4 linked regions of the Drosophila melanogaster genome follow. The protein of the gene in region 1 interacts with the protein of each later gene in a pairwise test. Each region holds a gene or a part of one and is shown in the gene's direction. Other genes may lie near its edges. The genes, in order: p38b, Mlc1, Prosbeta1 and CG33080.

Evidence for each region.
Region 2: the proteins of p38b (region 1) and Mlc1 interact in a two-hybrid assay, tested with the Drosophila melanogaster proteins (one large-scale study listed by BioGRID).
Region 3: the proteins of p38b (region 1) and Prosbeta1 interact in a two-hybrid assay, tested with the Drosophila melanogaster proteins (one large-scale study listed by BioGRID).
Region 4: the proteins of p38b (region 1) and CG33080 interact in a two-hybrid assay, tested with the Drosophila melanogaster proteins (one large-scale study listed by BioGRID).

The regions. Positions count from the first base shown.
Region 1 is NT_033779.5:13,778,258-13,783,401, forward strand, and holds p38b (p38b MAP kinase), read left to right. Parts: upstream 1-2,431; 5' UTR 2,432-2,507; intron 2,508-2,609; 5' UTR 2,610-2,742; coding exon 2,743-3,840; 3' UTR 3,841-4,352; downstream 4,353-5,144. Other genes in the region: CG9008 (uncharacterized protein), read right to left, coding at 1,388-1,475; CG16890 (uncharacterized protein), read right to left, coding at 4,353-4,688, 4,740-5,144.
Region 2 is NT_033777.3:27,656,265-27,662,778, reverse strand, and holds Mlc1 (myosin alkali light chain 1), read left to right. Parts: upstream 1-2,601; 5' UTR 2,602-2,666; coding exon 2,667-2,669; intron 2,670-2,822; coding exon 2,823-2,850; intron 2,851-3,857; coding exon 3,858-4,163; intron 4,164-4,223; coding exon 4,224-4,310; intron 4,311-4,665; coding exon 4,666-4,709; 3' UTR 4,710-4,712; intron 4,713-4,823; coding exon of another isoform or gene 4,824-4,867; 3' UTR 4,868-5,701; downstream 5,702-6,514.
Region 3 is NT_033778.4:16,012,580-16,016,945, reverse strand, and holds Prosbeta1 (proteasome beta1 subunit), read left to right. Parts: upstream 1-2,158; 5' UTR 2,159-2,249; coding exon 2,250-2,294; intron 2,295-2,357; coding exon 2,358-2,832; intron 2,833-2,900; coding exon 2,901-3,055; 3' UTR 3,056-3,141; downstream 3,142-4,366. Other genes in the region: EMC7 (ER membrane protein complex subunit 7), read left to right, coding at 1-213, 275-421, 487-615, 682-807; Rrp42, read right to left, coding at 916-1,386, 1,441-1,606, 1,658-1,854, 1,912-1,968; CG8389 (uncharacterized protein), read right to left, coding at 3,410-4,273, 4,332-4,366.
Region 4 is NC_004354.4:5,713,889-5,719,697, reverse strand, and holds the start of CG33080 (uncharacterized protein), read left to right. Parts: upstream 1-1,919; 5' UTR 1,920-1,983; coding exon 1,984-2,352; intron 2,353-4,225; exon of another isoform or gene 4,226-4,426; coding exon of another isoform or gene 4,427-4,552; intron 4,553-4,885; coding exon 4,886-5,046; intron 5,047-5,809.

The DNA.
Region 1 (5,144 bases):
AACAACAACCTAAAAAGCAAAGTACATGACGCACACACTTCTAACCCACATGGCTAACACATACAAACACACACACATACGCGCACACTTGCACGCACACAATCGCAGAGTAAGTAACTGGCCTGTAAGTAAACTAACTGGCTGAGACCGAATCTCTGGTACAGTTAAAGACTGGGATATGGGTTGGTTTTGGTTACGCTACGGGTATGGATCTCTGGGCATGACGATGGCCTACGGCCAATGGGTGGGTGAGCACTTGGCTGCGTGGGAGGAGCTGCTGCTATTCCCCAAAATCTCGCTCAGTTGGCCCCAATGTGCGATGGGCTTTCGACAGGCCGTAGCCACTGCTCTGGCACCTTGATTATTATGATTGGAAACACTTTGGTGTCGAGTTTAGTTAAAGCTCCTCCGAAAACTAATAATTAACATTGTTCGAATTACATGTGATAAGATACACTGAAAGGAAAACAATGCATCAGTTTAAGTATATATCTTAGTTTTTCACAGGCCATTTAATTGAAGAGGAAGAGTAAGTGGAACACGAAAAATAATCATATACATGGGATCATATAAATATCTTTAAGAAAATCATTGCAAGTGAATTTAGTAAAGATCTTTAATCCTTAATGCCTTAGCCACTGAAACTCTTTCCGATAAGAAACTATGAAGATCTCAAGAATTTCCATTAGATATATATGTAGTTATTTCTTCCGGTGTACGATATGCTGTCTGTTCCAAACGCTGTTGTGTCTCTGGCCGTCTGACTGTTGCTCAAACGGCTGCGACTTGGAAAGCAACGTGGGCAGCCCAGACACAGGCAGTCGTAATTGTTGAAAGTACGCTGGGTACACCAGTGCCAGCTCACATACATACATATGTACATAGGTGCTCATAGAGAGGGACCTGTATACATATATGTACGAACCATATACATATATATGACGCCTAATCGAAATGTGCTGCGAGTAGGAGCCGCATCGATCCGATCTCCAAGATCCAAACTCCAAGCTCTAAGCTTTTCCAAAACCGAAACCCAACTGATCCCCAGCGATTGGATCGAGTGGGGGCATATATGTACATATAGCGCCTAAATTGCGACGATCTCGGCTGATAAGATAGCAAAGGCCCTCTGGCTGGTGCGTAGAACAGCGAAAGGTAAAAACAAGGTTATTTCCAGAACGAATTGATAACCTCCAGAGGTCGCGAATACATCGAGAATAGGGGGCGAAACGGGTTTCGGTTTCGGAAGAGTCTAAGCGCCAATCATCCGCTAAAAATAACGCCAACAAAATTTTGGCAAAGTGCTGGTGGTGTCTTCTTAATTATGATTAATTGTTCGCCAGCTATTCATTTGTTGTTTATCATTGTTTCAAGACATTCTGCTCACCGTGCAAGTTGATGGTGCAGGTTGTATTGTTTCCGCGATCCAGAACAACTACACTCGTTGCGGCCATTGCGGCCGCTGTCGTGGCCATTTTGAATTTTCCTAACGGTAAAGGTATATCCGGGGGATCGTTTGAGATCCTGTGTATGTTTGTGTGCGTGCCTGCCTACTGAGGGAGTATATCTTTGAAAAATTGGGTACGAAAAGAAACTGTAGCTCCGTGGCACTTAAAGCAAGGCGATCTGGTTTCGTACTCAAAACGGGCGTCGATTGAACTTTAATTTGCGCATTTACATAATGTTTGCAAAAATTATTCTGCACACAAAGCACCGCACTCACACAGACGCGCCAGCACACACACACTCACTCGCACACACACATACACACGCACGCACAGAGCGCAGCTTGAGTTTTTGTCAATGAACAAATACGTATGGAAAAAACTCGTGCAAAAAACGTTCGGGCGAAAAGCGTCACGACCCGGACCTTCGATGTTCTGCCAACGAGCGACCGATTGAAACTAAACCAGCTTGCGCCAACTGACCGCCTTCTGTTACCGGCCCATGTTAAGCTTTAAAATTAGCTTTATGTCCATGGTCGACGAGGGAGTACTCTACCTTAAAATTATATTTTTAACGTATAACTAAGTATTTACTGAAGTGGATGATATTACCACATTATTCACGAGTTTATGGTTTCATATAAGTTCATTTTTTGCTTTAATTAATGCATTTTTAATTTAAATATTTCTTATTCTCAAAGGTGTGATAATAAAGAATACATACATAGAACTCTCCAAATAATATTGAAAGTATTTAAATTGTAATATAATCTTAAAAACTTTAATCAAAATTGCATATAAAAATCTAATTATTATTATTGTTTGTGACGATCATGTACTCTGTCAACCAAACTGCGCAGAAGCTTTGTGAATTGATCCGCTGCCTCGATGGACTCTGATTTTTGTAGGGGACACCCTAAAGCCAACCATGTTAACGCATAAACGAGCAGCAGCTGATTGGAAATCGGACCCATTTGCGGTTATCGATAGCCAAGACAGCGTTGTTGTCCAATCAGAAAAGGTGTAGGCGCAGCGGAATAGCATAAATAAAATCCGAGAGATGTAAGTTGCAACTTATTTGTGCAGATACAAATGAATCTGGGCAGGAATACCCGAAATTAGCTACGTTTTCCCGTAATACCCGGTACGATTACTCATTTCCAGCAATGTTGAGGCCGCGAAGTGTGGAACAGAGATAACTAATCCCACAAGCAAGAAGAAGAACTGCCCAAAAAAAGAGCCAGCGGATTAATAACATTATAGCACCGCACCTGAGCGTACAGAACATCCCAACGAAATGTCGCGCAAAATGGCCAAATTCTACAAGCTGGACATCAATCGCACCGAGTGGGAAATCCCGGAAACATACCAGAACCTGCAACCCGTGGGTCAGGGTGCCTACGGCCAGGTCTGCAAGGCCGTGGTCCGCGGAACCAGCACGAAGGTGGCCATCAAGAAGCTTGCCAGGCCCTTCCAGTCGGCGGTCCATGCGAAGCGCACCTATCGGGAACTGCGGCTGCTGAAGCACATGGATCACGAGAACGTTATTGGTCTGCTGGATGTCTTTCATCCAGGACAGCCCGCCGATTCGCTGGATCAGTTCCAGCAAGTGTACATGGTGACCCACTTGATGGACGCCGATCTGAACAACATAATACGCACGCAGAAACTGTCTGATGATCATGTCCAGTTTCTGGTCTACCAAATCCTGCGCGGTCTGAAGTACATCCACAGCGCTGGGGTCATCCATCGTGATCTAAAGCCATCGAACATTGCGGTAAACGAGGACTGTGAGCTTCGCATCCTGGATTTCGGTTTGGCCCGTCCCGCAGAAAGCGAGATGACCGGATACGTCGCAACGCGATGGTACCGGGCGCCTGAGATCATGCTCAACTGGATGCACTACAACCAGACGGCGGACATCTGGTCGGTGGGCTGCATCATGGCTGAGCTGCTGACTGGGCGCACGCTGTTCCCTGGAACCGATCACATCCATCAGCTGAACCTCATCATGGAAGTGCTGGGCACGCCAGCTGATGAGTTCATGAGCCGCATCTCCTCGGAGAGCGCTAGAAACTATATTCGTTCACTGCCGGTGATGCCGCGCCGCAATTTCCGCGACATCTTCCGCGGTGCCAATCCGCTGGCCATCGATTTGCTGGAGAAGATGCTGGAACTTGACGCCGACAAGCGCATAACCGCCGAGCAGGCGCTGGCCCATCCGTACATGGAGAAGTACCACGATCCAACCGATGAGCAGACCGCCGCGCTCTACGACCAGAGCTTCGAGGAGAACGAGCTGCCGGTGGAGAAGTGGCGGGAGATGGTCTTCAGCGAGGTGACGGCCTTCAAGCCCACAGCCGCCTTCGCTGAGCTCCTGCCCAAAGAGCAGTAATCCCGGCCGCCATCCCTCTCCGTTCAATGATGCTATATACAATTAGAACAGTCTTTTCTACACCTAGTTCAAGCGGATGCGCTCAGTCGTGATTTCTCTACTCGTCGAGTGTAAACAATCGGGGATATTTATTCTAGAGCGATTTATATTTAGAAACTCTTCAGTGGCTGGATTTCAACAATTTGTTTTGACCACAAACGTAAGGTGAAATAGTATTGTATTTTCGAACCTTCGATTTGCATTCGATGGATATAGAAATAGCGATTGAACTAGGTGCATGCCTGAAATGTAGCCATTCGGAAATGTTTCCAAAAATCAATCAGAGTCACAGCCTTAATGTCCAGTTCAACTTTAGATTTGGTGTCGGTTTTAACACGCAGTTCTTGTGAATAATCCTGTAAATGTGAGTGTACATGTACATCGTAGTTCGTAAGCGAACGCATCTAGCGGCCAGTAACTATAAAAAAGAGCACTAGTGTCTACGTTGAATCCAAATAAATGTGCTATGTATTTTAAAAAATGAGATCCTCTAGATATCGCTCGAATTCCTGCTCTCTGGAGGCTTGCTCTCGGCTTATATCGGGTTGTTGTTGCCAGATCTGTTCGTCTGCCGTGGTGGCATCCTTTGAGTCTGTGGGCTCCTTGCTGGCTTCTGGATGGGATTCGGATGCTGGTTCGACAGGCTCCTCCTCCTCTTCGCCAGAACTTTCGTGACCAACATCGAGTTTTCGACGCTTACGTTTCTTTTCAGCGCGCCGTTCCTCCTTTTCCCTGCGTCTCCGCTTCTTGCATTCTCTCTTCTTGGTGCGGTAGTTCAGCTGATCCGTGTGGGTGGGACACAGCCGCACCTATGGAATTCCCATTAGTGACACAATCGCGGAAACCCATTTGGAACCCACCTTGACCAGCGCATTTAGGGGCTCACCCTTTTCGATATACCTAAAGTTTACCTCCCAGCTGCGCAGATTATCCCGCTCCCCGCAATGCCGGCTGCCGCACTGGAACTGCCCGGTTCCGGTGACCACCTCCTGCTCCGTTCGCCAGCGCAGCGCTATCTTGTTCTCCTTGTAGCGGGACAGGTCCGCGATGCAGTACTCCTTAAATAGCTTCCTGTAGTATCGCAGGGCCAAGCGCTGCTCCCAGCTTAGGGTGTCGCTATCCAACTCGTCGTCCTCCCACAGGAAGCGGTGATTCTCTCGGATTACATCGATGTCTCGCTTGTGCCGACGTGATTCCGTCTCATTCGGTAGGTTAAGCACGTAATTACTAAGTATATAGTTGTGTCGCTCCTTGGCACTCAGGTT
Region 2 (6,514 bases), on another chromosome or scaffold:
GATCAATTGTTTGGCACTTAGCACACACTCAAATCAAACGTGGCCAACGATTCGCTTGATTGGTGCCGCACCCAGTGGAAATGGCTTCACTTCAACCAACTGGGCTGGGCTCCTTGGACAGTCGTCACTAATTGCAGAACCTTTCATGGGCTGGCGACCGAACAGGGACACTGAAGCACTTTTTGTTTGATTTCAATTTGTGTATTTTTCCGTTTTTGCCCTTTTTTCTGTTGTCTAACGAGTAGTTTTTTTTTTTTTTTTTTAGTTCTGCAAGGGCTTACCTTGATTTGCGCGTTGCCAGTTTCGGATAACGTTTACGGCTGAAGCGTTCGGATGCAACTGAGACAAGCGTCGTTAACTGACGAGCTCTGAGCTCCCCGTCGTTGTTATCCTCTCAGCCGGCCGCGTCCTCCGTTTGCCATCGTTTCCAATGCCGACAGCAGCAGGCCAGCAGTGCGTATACAGGATATTTTGCCGAGAAACACACACAAACGCAGAGAGTCGTACAACCACCCGCACTCAGTATTAAGTATACGCACTGAATGGACGGGAAAAAAGGCTGCTCTCCGTGTAAGGGGTGTCCTTGCACTTGTTATGGCATGCCATAACACACTCTCCCATCGGGACACCCTGTTTGCGAAGCACACTTATCAATGATAACAAATGCCTGAGGATGGGCATTGCGTATACGCCGTGGGGTGGCCATTAGTACTCCTTTGTCTACGAGTCTTTGGGACTGCGACTGCGAATAAATAGTGTAGTATTAAAGTAGTAATGGCCAAAAATAAGTCACTGTCCCTTTCGGACTTGAGTGGAAATTAAATCCATAGCCTTTGTTCATTAATTAATCTTCTAGCTGATTAAGCACGCTTTATCCTTGCTAAGTTCTTGCCAAGTTCTTTCTGTATCTTATTTTAAGATAAGCATTTGAGATATATTTTAAATAACTTGATTACCAGCACAAAAAGCCCTTAGTGTAAATGTTGTTTACAGAAATGAGTTCTATAAATACAAGCACACAATTTCAGTCTCAAGGGGCTATTTATCAATGACTTGCGCACATTAATCTGCGCAGATTCGTGGCAACAATCGGCTGCTGATAGCAGATGTTCAATCAAGGACCAAATCGGCCTAAATACTCATGCACCAGTTACCCGCTTGACAACAGGTGGTGCCCCAAGGAGTAAACAATAACAAGGCCAGGGAGGCTGCGCGGCCAAAAGCCGAGCCGAGGACTCAATGGATTGAGAGATAGGACGAGACAGGACAGCCCAGAGAGTGGGTCTGATGAGCATCAGCCGGAAGTTGGGCACACAGCTGGGCTCAAAACTGGGTCAAAGAAGGACCTGTCCGATGGCACGAACATGGACGTGTGTACATCTACATTTACATAGAAAGTCAAGGACATGGGTGCATGGAAATGGATGTGCCGGCAAAGCCAATGGCCTGCTTGGCTTAATTGCCACTTCCTTGCCAGATTTGCCGCCTTTTAAGCACCTCGCTTACCCTTCAGGCTTGATCGGTCATTATATACCTACCACCCACCATTTGCCTATGCAAACAATTCGAGCATTTAGTTGTTGCTGTACATTTTTGCTCTGAATACGCTTCATGTATCTGTGTCATAGTTTTTATAAATAGCACGCATTAAAATGTTGTACAGGCGGCACACACAAGGCACAAGAAGGCGCCTGAGGGGCCAGTAATGCGCCTTCTATGTAGATGAGATGCCAACGAGGAATAGTATGCTTTTGGAGCATGTATAGTGTATAAATATTGAAAAAGGCTGGTGTTCAGGTGTTCTGGCAGCGGACAAACAAGAAATCGGCCATTTAACACCCCCACATACGACCGGCTGACAAAACATTTCGAATGATAACAGGCAAGACCTGAGAAATACGTACGTTTGCCAAAAAGACGATCAGGGTCGATGAGTGTATAAATATATACATGTATAGGCCACATTTATAGTACATAGCCCCATAGCCCCATCTAAACATCTAAACATACCCCGTAAAACCCCAGCATGGAAGCTCAATCTATTGCGCAGCGCTAAACAATCAATTCTCAAACCCATTCTCCTCCCGCCTGAATGAGAAAATATTATATTATCTGCAAAATCATCTGTAACATCGAATGATATTCAACACTATCCGGCTGGGAATGCCACAAGCGATTATTATTTTGCCTTCACGAACGAAATAAAAAGAAATATTCACAGAATAGCCGAAAAAAAACAAAATGCTTAAAAATAGCCCGGCTAGAGAGCGGACAACAAATGGCTCTGGCTCCATAGGAGAGCCTCCCAATATCTGGTGGTCGTTGGGATCCATGGGATCCCAAAAGAGAGTGGCATTCGAAAAAGTTCCCCCAAGATGAAAGTAAATTCTTGCCATCGCACATACTACAGCATATATTTTGGTGTGTGTATAGCCTTGCGCAGGAAAAGAGCGAGCGTTTCGTCATCCATTCGTATTCGTATTCGTTTTTGAATTCGTTTTCGAAGCTATAGCTGTAAATGTATCTGTATCTGTGTCTGAGTGCTCGGCGATCGGCTGGTTGGCTTTCACCTCAGAATTACCTTGCCGTACTGCCACTGACGAATAACGTTCAGTCGAGACCGAGCTCATCCGCGATACAGTTGATTTTCGCATCAAACAGACAAAATGGTGAGTGCCCAGTCGGCCAAGGAGTCTTCACACATCTTCCACCAATATCCAGTGATATAGATGTACATAAATATATGCAGCAGCTGAAAACTGAAGATTTTCCACACTCGAACTAATGCCAAACTCTCAAATCTTTTTCGATTCCGTTGACAGGCTGATGTTCCAAAGCGTGAAGTTGAAAGTAAGTTAAAACCCCGCACGAAAAGGATTATCTTTAACCTCAAACGAAATCCATCAAAGTTAAACCAACATATTAAATGAACGAGGTAACGGAAAACCCAGCAGAAAGGACTAAAAACAAGTATTATAATATCCATAAAAATACAGATTACATAATGTGCGCGTGTGAGATACACAACAAAAAGTACACAAAAGTCGGTGAACATATTTCGTAATCACTTGGAATATATCGCATACATATACGCATGCCTATATATATAACACTATGCGGAAAATTTTCATTAAGGAATGCTGTCGTCTATATGCATCGCCTGAGCTATTTTCATCGATCGACCATCCAAAACCAGAACGGATAAAGGTTGCCAACACAATTCCGGTAGAGAAAATCTAGTGCAAAGTTAAGTTTGATTTGCGTTATAGAAAAGCCGCGGAAAACAATGAAAATCGTGTGTGTATATGTCGCGAACCCGAACGCGCGATCCTCGTCTTCGAGCCGAAATGCTTCTCGTTTAGAGATCTAATTTTGGCCAAGTTATTTCTTTAGATTTATTTTCGATCAAACGCACAGCGAAAGAGATGAGCAAACTATGCGACTTTGTGTGTGTATATACGCCTATATACTGTGTATATAGCGCAGACGAGGGCGAAGGCGTTCGGTTCGGGTGTCGGATTACGTATACGTAGTGTGTTCTCGGGGCTGGCAACTCTCCCAGATCCGCACTCACGCATACACTCACACACTAAGTAGGCAATGCCCAGCAGCCATGTCAAGATTTTCATGATGACCAAAAATGTGCGTACCAGAAATTTCAGGGTTACCACATCGACCCCGTTTTCGAAAATAAAAAGGGTGGTCAACACCCACCTCTGCTAAAGTATTTTTAAAAACAATTAATGAGGCAGCATAATAAAATGAAACGAATAAAAACAAAAATTTGATGGGATTTACGTTTGATCGACTAACATGAACATGAAGATGTAAATGCTAATCGAGTTCCTTTTGCGCAGATGTCGAATTCGTTTTCGAAGTCATGGGCTCCCCCGGTGAGGGCATTGATGCCGTCGACCTAGGTGATGCCCTCCGCGCTCTGAACTTGAACCCCACCTTGGCGCTGATCGAGAAATTGGGCGGCACCAAGAAGCGCAACGAGAAGAAGATCAAGCTGGATGAGTTCCTGCCCATCTACTCACAGGTCAAGAAGGAGAAGGAGCAGGGCTGCTACGAGGACTTCATTGAGTGCTTGAAGCTCTACGACAAGGAGGAGAACGGCACCATGCTGCTGGCTGAGCTGCAGCACGCCCTGCTGGCGCTTGGTGAGTAATCAACATGCATATATCCTGGGATATCCCTCTAAATCATTGTGTGCATTACAGGTGAGAGCTTGGATGACGAGCAGGTGGAGACCCTGTTCGCTGACTGCATGGATCCCGAGGATGATGAAGGATTTATCCCCTACTCTCGTAAGTATTCGTTCAATGGACGATACTCATCTAATGTTTTTTGTGCATATACGATTTGTAAACGCCGTTTGTCTATTCCACATGTCACTCTTTGTCTGCGCACAAACCAAAAAAATCCCCACCATTCTGCACTGTGCACTTTGTACCACCAACTCGACCTGAAAAACACCAACAAACCTAAAAATATGTGTATGCGTGTATCCATGTTTGCGTGTCCATTCCTCCAACACTACACTCGCAAAAAAAAAAAAAAACCGACCAACTCCCGAATGTCAAACGTATGGTCTCTGCACGGTGATTGCGTCTTGTTTACCCGCCGTTTGTCGCCGATCCACTTGAAATTGAATGAAAACAGAGTTCGTCCAGCGCCTGATGAGCGATCCTGTCGTCTTCGACTAAACAGTAAGTAGGGATGGAGCCCATGGCCACTTCGCCGATCTCTGGATGTCTACTTGTCCAACAAATTTGGGGAATACCTTGCTAATATGGCCCTTTTCTTCGTCTACTCCACAGCATTCCTCGCCAGAATGTGTGACAGACCAGATCAGCTAAAATAGTTGAAAACAACAGCTTCAACAACAACCAACAAACAACAACAACAACAACAACAACACCAACAAACTTTTAGCGACAACCATTCTCCATAGATGTTATATTCATCGCTAACTCTCTCTATCTCTCTCGTATATTATTTTAATTAAAAATTACTTCTGCTACTACAACTGCAAAATTGAACTTCAAGATAATATTATTTTTTAAAAAATAAAAAAATTTAAATTATAAAATAACGAAAACAAAAAAACTGAAAAATATTCAAAGTTTTGTGCACATTATTTTGTTATGAATTATTTTGTTGGTTCAGCCAAAAGCAAAGCAATAGTTAATGATTATTTTATATGAGACGTGAATAAACCAAATAGCAAATAATATAATGTTTAGGCAAATTCAACATCCGAAAGCGTCCAAAAAGGGCAGTTAGCAAAACGCCAAATGTGTAAATTGTGGCCTTTTTGCGTTCTCAATTTACCAAGTGAATGTGTGAAAGTGAAATAAGTCAAATGTATTTAAATAAACACTAAGAATAATTGTGCGGCCGATGAGGTGTTGCACAATCAATATAAAAGAAGATCAGGGTGGTGGAAAATTTGGGATTATGCTATATAGGCAGCCAATATTAATACAAGATGTGGCTGACTTGTTTAATAAACTAAAAGTAATAGAGAAAGTTTAAAAATCTTATACTGAATCCACAAAGAAATATCTAGATATTTTCGCCGCAGACTGCAATACTTCAGCTGAGACACAAACCACCAACGAGAAGCAGGCGAAAGACTAAAATACCGTGTACTAAAATGTCGTTTTCGCTTTTTCTCAACGAGAGAGAGCTTTCGAAATGTTTGTTAAGCTTAGAGCTTGGTTAATATGGTTTTTGTCTCTACTTTCGTAATTATTATTTATTTATTATATTAAAATAGTAAGTGTAAGAAGGGGTGGAAATACCCGCATCCTGGTATCTACCTTCCTCGTCTAGTCAACAATAACAATTATAAACTAATCACAAAAATAGCTTGGGGGTTGAGATTCCGCTGAGCTTTTGCGTCGACGTCGAATCAAAAAAGTGTCAGAAAAGTTTCGGTTAAATACGACGACTACGAATCAGTTGAAATCGAGATAACAAACCGACAAGCCGACCGAGCGGGAGCTGTCTCGCTTTTTTTAAAAATTTGCACCAGCAAAAATCCAAATAAATTAGCAGAGTGCCAGTGAAGTAAGTGAGCGTGAGTGCGCCAAGTCAAAATATAAATATTGTCATTTACGCCGTTTCAAAATATATTTCCGCGAGCATTTCTCGAATCGAAAGTGAACCCAAAATATATTATTCCAAGTGAAAAGGACTAGCCCAAAGATACACACACACACACACAGGAAAAATACCGACAGATCTGTAGTCCTTTTCGAGTTTTCCCGTGAGTGCAACAAATACAGACACACCACACACACACTCGTTCGACTTTCAATATGGCGGATGTCCTGGAGAAAAGCTCACTGCTGGATGCTGTGCCACCACTAGGCGACCCCCACCCACCGCTGCCCCACCAGCAGCTGCAACAGGAAGCAGCAGCAGCAGCAGCAGCAAATGCCGCACCACCAGCACCACCGCAGCAGCAACAACCACCACCCCATCAGCTGCAGCAGCAGCAGCC
Region 3 (4,366 bases), on another chromosome or scaffold:
CCGCCGGATTCCATTTTTTCACCCACTCAAGGAGGCGGACGAAGTGCTCCGGTGAACAAGAATACACCGAAGTGGCACACAGAGATTACGCTCTCCATCAACGACGGCGAATTTAAGGGATTCGTCCGCGAGGATGGGCAGTTCATGATCAGCGGAGTGCCATCCGGCAGCTATATCCTGGATGTCCACCACCCGGATGTTTTCTATGAGCCGGTCAGTTAAGGGAATCCATTCAATATGATGCCAGAATCACTAAAAATTTCTTCAATTGCAGGTGCGCGTCGAGATCAATCCCAAGGGCAAGTTCCGCGCCCGCAAAGTGAACTTTGTGCAGCCCGCCCAAATTATGCAGGTGGCATATCCCCTGCGCGTGAAGCCACTGATGCCCTTTAAATACTTCCAGACCAGAGAGCAGTGGAAGGTGCATCATTATATTGCCACCAACGGAAGAATCACAAAACTAACTTTTGCTCTTGACCCACACAGATCACCGACTTCTTGTTCAGCCCCATGGTCCTAATGATGGTCTTGCCTCTGCTCCTTATGCTGGTGCTGCCCAAGATGATCAACGATCCCGAGACAAAGAAGGAGATCGACAATCTGCAGTTCCCAAAGGTAAGCCGTGAGGATCATGTATAGCACAGCACTATAGTATTATATGAATCATGCTCTGCTCCACAGATGGGCAACGATATGCCCGAGATCAGCGAAATGCTGACTTCACTGCTAACGGGCAAGCAGCCCGAGCCCAAGGAGAAGAAGCCTGCTCCGGCCGTCAGGCAGGCGAAGAAGCGCAAGGACCAGTAGTAGTTGGCCACCAGATAGCTTTTAGTATTAAGCTTAATCGGAGCGCCGAGCTCCAAGTCAGAGTCAGATCGTTTAAATAGTAAATTTTCATTACAAGACTTTGCCGCTTTATTTAAGAAATCCTACTATTTGCGGTCGCTTGAGTCCGACGCGCTGCTGCTCCAGATTTAGCATTTTAGTGAGCAGCCGGTCCAGATGCTCGCCAATGGCCAGACCCAGCTCCAGACAGTTGCGCATGGTGTCCCGGTGCATGGCTCCGCCGCCGGTCAAGTGTGTACCCGAAAGGAATGCCTGTCCATTCCGCATGGAAACTGACACAACCATGCTCACTGTGCTGCAGACTTCCTCCTCCGCCGAAGGATCCACCAGGACATAATCACCGATCTTGCAAACTGTGACCAACAGCGGAACCGTCTCGATGCCGATGCGGGTGCAGTCATACGGATTGTCCGATATGATGAGGTCTGTGATGCCGGCATCCAACATGGTGGCTGTCACCCGGGGCAGCTTTGTGTTGAACAGAGCCGCTTTGGCGGCCAGCGACACTGCGTCGTGTAGATTGCCGCCACACTCCAGAATCTGCGAGAACAGGGATTAGCATTTTCGGTATAATTAAGCACACTAGAGTCTAACCAGGATGTCTATGTACAGCTTCCAGCACTGCTGACCCGGAATGAGGCACAACGTGCGGTAGTTGAAGGCCAATGGCGATTCGTAGGCGTTCTGCAGGGAGAGAATAAGTTCTTGGGCCAGATCCGAGCCCCCGCGTCCTTCAAACTCCGGCGTGGCATTAGCAGAGCTGAAATATATATGTTATGGCATATTCTTCGAACTTCAGTTGCATCATTACCAATCCACAAAAAATTCCAGTTTACCAAACTCGGGCGTCAGCGGGTTGGGTACATCAATCTCGGTTTTGACGCCCACCAGTATGTCTGTGTTCGCCAGCCGAAGGCGAGCGGATCCACTGGCATTGCTAACCAGTCCAGTTTCCAGGTCCATGGGCCGGTAATCTCGTCGTGAACGTCCATCGCAACGAAAGTCATCCTGGAAACGCATAGTTTAAGGTACAGACTATATTTCTTGCATAACCGTTTAACACACCTCCACGCCGTGTAGAATATATGTTTTTTCAGCTTCGCTCAGTGCAACGTATGCCATTTTAGACTTAATTCAAGAAAACAAATATTCAAAACAAATTCAACATGTGCAATGAACCCACATCGATACTATCGATATACCGCAAAGCAGGGCTGCTGGCACTTCGTTTTTACTTTACTGAACTGTTGTCAGTGCGAAAGGTGTATGTTTTCATTTGAAGCATTTCATTTCACATCGCCATCTGGTAACACTTATCCAAAACAAGCCAGTCATTTCGTGTTCGTGCGGCGTTTCAACAAATATCAATTGTAAATTGAATTGTAACAAATTTAAAGATCAATATGCAGCCCGACTTTGATTTCACCGACACACCGGTCAGCACTGGTGTAAGTATGAAGAGCATCAGCCACATAACTTCGTACTAAGAGCACAATCCTACCTATTTGCAGACCACCATTATGGCAGTGGAGTTCGATGGCGGAGTGGTCATTGGAGCCGATTCGCGCACCAGCTCGGGCGCCTATGTTGCCAATCGGGTCACCGACAAGCTGACCCGCATCACGGACAAAGTGTACTGCTGCCGCAGTGGCTCGGCCGCCGACACCCAGGCCATTGCCGACATTGTGGCCTACTCGCTGAACTATCACGAGAATCAGACCAACAAGGATGCTCTGGTGTTCGAGGCCGCCTCAGAGTTCCGTAATTACTGCTACAGCTACCGCGAGTCCCTGCTTGCCGGCATCATTGTGGCTGGGTGGGATGAGCAGCGCGGCGGCCAGGTGTACAGCATCCCGTTGGGCGGCATGCTGACCCGCGAGTCCTGCACCATCGGCGGATCGGGATCTAGTTTTATCTACGGATTTGTTAGGGAGCACTACCGCCCCAATATGGCGCTGGAGGATTGCGTTACATTCGTCAAGAAGGGTAGGTAATCCCAAAAAAACCAAAACAGTTTCCCTTCAATCGAATCCCATTTAAACCTCCTCCAACAGCTGTCCAGCACGCTATCTACCACGATGGCAGCTCCGGTGGTGTGGTGCGCATTGGCATCATCACCAAGGATGGCATCGAGCGACGCATCTTCTACAACACAGAATCGGGCGCATCGGCTGTTTCCAGCACTCCCAGCTTCATTTCCTCGGAATAAATAGTATACCTACCCAAGTAAGATCGATCAGAGAAAGAGTTGCAAACTCGTCTCATGCTAATAAACCTGGTTTTTGTAATATGCATACTTTAATTTGTATTTTGGCTCTTATGGCAGTACAAAAGTTAGGTCTAGGGGCTAAAATGGTAATAAATAATCGAAAACCTAAACCTAAGATGCATAGTCATACAGATAGTGCTGTTCCTGACACTGGTCCTTCCTCACAACTCAGATAACTACTGCGGCGAGAGTGGAATGTTCCCTACGGGGAAGTCATTTCATCGCCTATCACATGACAGTCAATACCGATATCCTTCGCTTAAACTCTTATCCAGTCAGGTAGTGACCAGAGATTTAGGAGTTGAGTTTGGCCACTTCAGCTGCGTCTATAGACTGCGTCTCCATGGACTTGTTGGTGGCACATCGCTGCCTGCGGTGGCGGTACAATATCTCCGGTGTCCAAACAAGAACCACCACCAGCAGAATGACTCCTTGAGCATAAAGGCAGATTAGGTAGGAGTCGGCGTAGTCTCGCACCCATCCCAGCAGCTGGCCCACTGTGATAACAATAACGCCCTTGGACATCATGCTCAGACCCAGACCGCCGGCCAGTTTTTCCGAGCGGCAATGCGCCGATATGGTGAGATTGTTGTTGATTACAGTGGCTGATTTCATCATGCCTGTCAACACAGACATGGTGATGATCACGGGCAGCGTTTGATTCTCGGCAAGCACACAGCGAGCGACAAAGAGTCCAACAATGCCGATCAGGAACACTACGCGATAGGGTATTCTAAGGTGATCTGTGACGATGGGCAGCAGCAAACGGAACACAATGTCGGCGCCAGCCACAAGGGACATGCAGAAGGCCACCATTTGGCTGTTAAGTTGTGCCGTTTGTCCAAGAAAACCAGGAAAGATCATCGTGAAGTTTATGGTGGCCGTATAGACTAGAGCCATGCCCACAATGATGCTCCAGAATACTAAATCTTTGAGCAGCTCCAGATCCATTGCCTGTACCAACCGCTGTCCCATTCGGCTGCACAGAGTATCCACATTTGGCGGGCTACGCTCGATCTTGCTTTGATTAGTCGGAACAATCACCACCTGAAGGGGACTAGTCTTTTCCCCATCGGCCTCGGTCAGGAGTCGAATGTGTTTGCGGTTGTTGTGCTTGGCAGGTGGGTTTAGTGGTTTCAAGAAGGCAGCACCAAAAAGCTGTAAGGTACTCGGGCTGTAAGCATTGGATCAACATAATATTATATTCTTAACTTACCCCAAATAGTGATAGGGAAGACATGGATAGGACTG
Region 4 (5,809 bases), on another chromosome or scaffold:
TGTGTCTCGTGGCTGTTGAGCAAACAAAAGTGTTGGGCGTCTCAAATAGAAGCCACATATATCGAGCAAAGTATATACGCTAACAAGAAGATGCATTCCATAATAAGTACGATAGAACGATAAATTATCAATGTTTTCTAAACACATTTAATACGACAACAACACAGCTCGGCGAACATAAGCTAGATGAAAAATTGAAAATAAATAAATGCGTATGTGAACTGGAAGATTCATCAAAACGTTTAAGTGTACAACTAAACTAAATGAACAAATTTAACAAATTTATCGAAAACAAGCATAATAAAAGCAAATTGCATTTTTCCCCTTTTCAAAATTACTCAAATCATTTCTTGTGCGAATGCGGTGGTTTTGAATCGAATTATGTGGAAGATCTTAAGATATTCTCTTATTTAGTGGTTTGTATTACATAGTTGTATCTTTTTTGGCAGACTTCAAATTGAGTGTAGTCATCGGATAGCCATGGCAAAAATAGTCGTACTTATTGGCTTATTGAAATTACTCACACATAATTCGAGAGTTGACCAACTTTGGCGGTGACTTTGAATCGCGAATTGCATGATAATTTTGTTTTACCTGCCATCTGGGTTTATTAATTCTCAAACGAGGTGTCTATTGAATCGCCATCGCAACAGGTTATTTGTTTAGTTTTGAATACATTTCAGCAATTAGTCCCACTGTACTGGGTTTATCAGAAGCTGTAAATTTGGTTATGCCTGTTTTTTTTGTGTTTCACTAAATCGGTTTATTACCGTCTCTAATATGTGATTCAGTCCGATTGCCTCCATACGCTGCGTCTGCGGTACAGTGACCACAAGCTATGGTGGCCACACAAAATATGTATATATCGAGTAATTATTAATCTAATTATTTCAATTTAATTACTAAAATTACATATAAATTGAGATATTTATATATTTAACCAGAAGCGGTTACCTTATCTAGATACACCCGTACCATCCACACTTCTACCCTTTCCCGTGGCAATGATCATAAATATAGTTCAATCGTCAAATATTTGCGCACTCTAGACAATTTATGAGTGCAATTTGTTAAACAATATTGCGAATTAGTTGTGGCATTCCGCACCGTTAGATTATCAATTTGCGGAGCACTTGGTGAGAGAAGTTTGCCCATGGGGGGGTTGGGTTTGGGTTTGGATGTGGGTGGCTGCGTTGGTTTGGTTTACCTTATCAGGTAACACATGTAATTATTGAAAGGCGCTGCTCGATCGAAATGATCGGATCGGCGGGCGAACGAGTTTGGCTCTTGACTTTGCCAGTTGATTAAATTTTGTTTGACTTTTTATTCGTGTACACTTGGTGCTTTAAAACAAGGTCGAGAATTTTGCGGAGAGCGACGAGAAGGGAGTCGGTGCGAGATTACGCCTAATTAGCCAGGCAAACAAATGCGATCCACGAAGTGGGCTTATGGCTAGAAAACGAACTTAATTAACTCATTCAGTGGGGCAACAGTCGCAGAGTTCAAATAGCTTTTAACGTTCGGTATACGGGGCGTATTAGCAATATCTGCGTAACCAGCGCACCCGGATCACAAATACACTGAAAGATTTGAATTTCAAAAACCGAAATTCTAGCACAATTATTTGGGGCTCAGCATGATGATTTAAGTTTTTGATATCTATATTTTTCATTTACACTGTTAACTGATTAATTTAGCCATAATATATATGTATGTGCAACTGTGATTGAGCATTTTTTTTTTTTCGATCGGTGTGTGCGATTATCGCCGACCGATGATAAGCGCTGATTAAAGGCAAACAGCGATGGCAATCGAAGCCGCCCGCTCACTGCCCGTCTCCCTCTGTCCGGCCGCCCAGCGCTCTCTTTCGCTCCGCCGGCGATTTCGGGTTCCGGTTGCCGCGCTCAACCCTTTTTTTCATTCGCCAGTGGAACGCGATCGCGTTTGGAACGCAGCCGCTGGAACTGAGAAGCGGCCGGTGAAATGGCTCAACCATCGCAATCGGGAGCCGCGCAGGCGCTCAACGGCCAGCATCCGGAGTTGGCCTTCGCGGATGCGGACACGGACGGAGATGAGCGACTGGAGGAGCATGGGCAGGAGCAGGAGCAGCTCCAGCTACTGGGTGCCATGCCCAGGAAGCAATCTCTCAGCGAGCGACGCAATGTGGATCTACCGCATTTGAAGATGGTCAACGAAAAGGAGCCGGAGTCGGCGACGCCGTCGCCGGAGGCCTTTGCACCGGGACTCCGACGCAATTCGATATCCATGCCCTCGGGCATTAATGCCCTGGATCTGGAGGCACTGCGTCTGCGACATCAGATGCAGCCGCAAGATGCGCTGCACGAGGAGATTGTAAGTACTGCACGCTTTTCATTTGAATTCATCAGAAAAATCTAGCATTCAGCATTGAATTCATCAGTGAATATTTTGTACCAATGTAAAATGAAGAATCTGGCGTAGGAGGTACATAAAAAGATTAGTTTACGACCCAGTTTATATCCATAGAAATTCCTCGAAAGACAAGTCGCTTCGGTCGCTCAGTTGCTTTAAAACAAAACTATTTTAAGTGGAAAATGTACATAAAACATTAAACAAATTAAAGGTTTAATTCATTCGTAAAGTACATAATCTTTGGAAAGGAGCTACCTTTAGAGGGTATTTAGAGTGCCGTTTTGCCATTTTTTTTTTCTTTTTTTGAAATATATAATTGCAGCAAACCAGTTGAGCAGTTAAGCCCCATTCGAAATTAAAATACAATGCGTAATTAAGCGAGGCGTCATCGCCTCTAGTCTGTTTCCTCGCGCTCGGCGAATCTCGTCGATTTACAGAAAAGTTACCCAAAAAAAAAAAAGATACAAACGTTAATTGTGCCTTAATTATATGAAGTTGGCAAACAATAAACATGTGACCAAAAACCCGAAATCCAGTTAATAGTCACATGATGGTCCTACGGTACAAATGGGCACCATTAATTTAGCACATTCACTAATCCAAAAACAAAATATATTTCTAAAGTGTCCATTCAATATATTAGTATATCACATTAAATGCCCATTAATATATGCATCGTGCTCCAAATACGAACTCATAGCTTTCGACATTTGCATAAACATTTATGCTAACAAGAATATTATCATTTAAAAACACTTTAATTTGGTACAAATTAAAACGAGTTGCCGTTTGAGGCAACCACTCAATCTTTAAACTTATTATATAAGTATATGTTTTTTATTTGTATTTTTTCATTTCAACAAAGACGCATGTAAGCGCGAAGCAAAAAAAATATGATTGATTGCCGATCTTTCGCACAAATATTTACATTATTCCGAACCCTGTGAATTCCAAACTAGAATATCTGAATTATTAGCGCATACGATATTTTTCCGTGGGAGATTTTTGTCTATTATTTTCGATGTGTTAAACACTCAAACTCATTACTGGTGTCGGGAAGTAGCGACGAATGCCGTGCGCTAATTATAGAGCTGCAAACAAGCCGACGGGCGGACGGAGGGGGCGTGGCCAGGCCAACGAGGCGTATGTGTGATGTGACCAAGCAATCAACTGTCACATAGCGAGAATATAACACATACGCAGTGTGGTCAGTGTGAGCAATATGCCCAAAAGTATGCAATGCGAAACGCAACTTCTTTGATGGCAGGCAAAATATAAATTTTCGAAGAGAGGTGAGAAAATGTGGAATGAACAGAAATATTGAAAGGGTGACATAAATGTCACACCACGACGATTTAATTAGACAGATTCTCTCTGTTTCATTTCAAGCTATTCAAATAACATTTGATTTTGGAACGAAGCTCATTTTAAATTGGAATATTTAGCATTCAGTTTGTTCAAATTACTTGCAGTGCATTCATATTTATGGCCATTCGTCATGAAGTACGGCTAATATACCAAGACCGCAGTACGTCGCCAATCAGGGTAGCCGCAATTAATTTACGACTACCGGATTATTCTATCAAAATCAAATTCCGCACTCTTTCGAGCCGACTCAACTAGCTCATGATTGTTCTGAGTGTGGGTGTCGATATTTTCACTCAACGTAGCGCTGCCGACGCCGACTGCGGCAGAGGCTGCGAGAGCGAAGCGATTAAAACGCATAAATTGAGGCTTCAAAAACAATATTCAGGCAATAGCGAACCAGCAATTATCAACGGTTAACAGTGCGATCGCGGCACTAACGTCGTTCGGATCGGTTATAATTATTTGGCAACTCGAAAATATCGGCGATGCGAACTAGGTCAATCAAAGTTAACAGCAAACTAATAGAACAACGACTATCCTAATTAAATATAAACAATTTGTTTTTGTTTTACCTATTCTGTGACTCAGTGAAGTGTTTGATTGAAAACCCACAATTTAGTGCTGTGATAACATAAGTATTGCACGGTATAATCGTTGAGTGTCCACAATGAGCTCATCCAACAGCCGATTCATCCTCTCGAGCGTTCCCATCGAGGATCAGCAACACCCAGCACCGAATGTTAGACACAACGCCGTTGTGCTCGATATCAGTGCGGCTATGGATAAGGATAAGGCAGGTACTAAGTGTGGCTTGTAGCTTATGACGTACTCCATTCGATTCGATGCCATTTTTTCCGGGCTTGCCGTTATATTGTACGGGAGACACCTTGACTGGGTATTCTCTGCGGTAACGCCTCTGTGCTAATTGCACTCACCTTGCCCAAGTGCAGGTGTCAAAAGCCCAGAACCCATATGTATATGAATGGTATGGTATGGTATAGCCCAACCAAAATGCCATACTTTTCAGTTACAATCGCTTGCTGTTTGCTCTATCAATCCAGCTATCTGTGTAGTGTAGCAAAAAAGGAAATCTATCTGTTTGACTATATAAATTCTAATTTTTCAGATAGCCGACGATGCGACCTCCAGCCTGGGCACACCGGCCACTCCGGATACGCCGGGCACTACGGCGCCGACGACAACGGCCAATACGCCGGATAAGGCCATCAATTTCGCCAACGATGACAGCGATGACGAGTTCGGGAACGCCAGAAGACCAGTTCATCGGTGAGTGATTAGATCAACTACTACCACTACCACCGATAACTAACTAAGTAAATTTCATATATGCGGTTCTTGTATTTAAATAATTGGAGCTACTTTCAATTATGACCCACGCTGTCGTTGGGCACTTTTGCCCATTTGATTCATCGGGCAATTAGATTAATTAATCGAAAGTCGCTGCCTTTTGTCTCCGAACGACAGTAATTCAATTGTGGCGTCGGCACTGCCAGTGGAACGTGCCTTTCCCCACATTCCTCCCGACCTACCGCCCATTCCGAGTATCGGTTGCAACTACTGCCCACTTCCATGCTAATTCCGCAGCGATTTTCATTTGACTTTTCCCCCGCCTCGACACTGCGAATTCCTATGATTACCCACATGGAAACGCCAAGGTGTTGGACCAATGGCAGTTATTATCAAAGTGATAGGCACACAAATGGCGGGTGTAAAAAACAGTTTAGCTATTTGCAATAGTTACTATCAATTATATCTGTTACATATCGATAATTTGGGAAAAGTATCTATTAAAGAACTTTCGGTGCAGCTCAGGATTTATTTGTTCATAAATATTTACGGCAATGAGTGTGCTGACACGGCATTTAATTAATCCCAGATTAATTATCCGGTTTTATATCAATTCAAAGCAGTTCAAACCAGACGATTCGAATGCTTTGCATACTTTTTTCGACAGCTCTCTTATCAGTGAATGCAGTGAATACAATGAATATACAATGAATCGAGGTGATTGCAATTCAGCATAGCAACT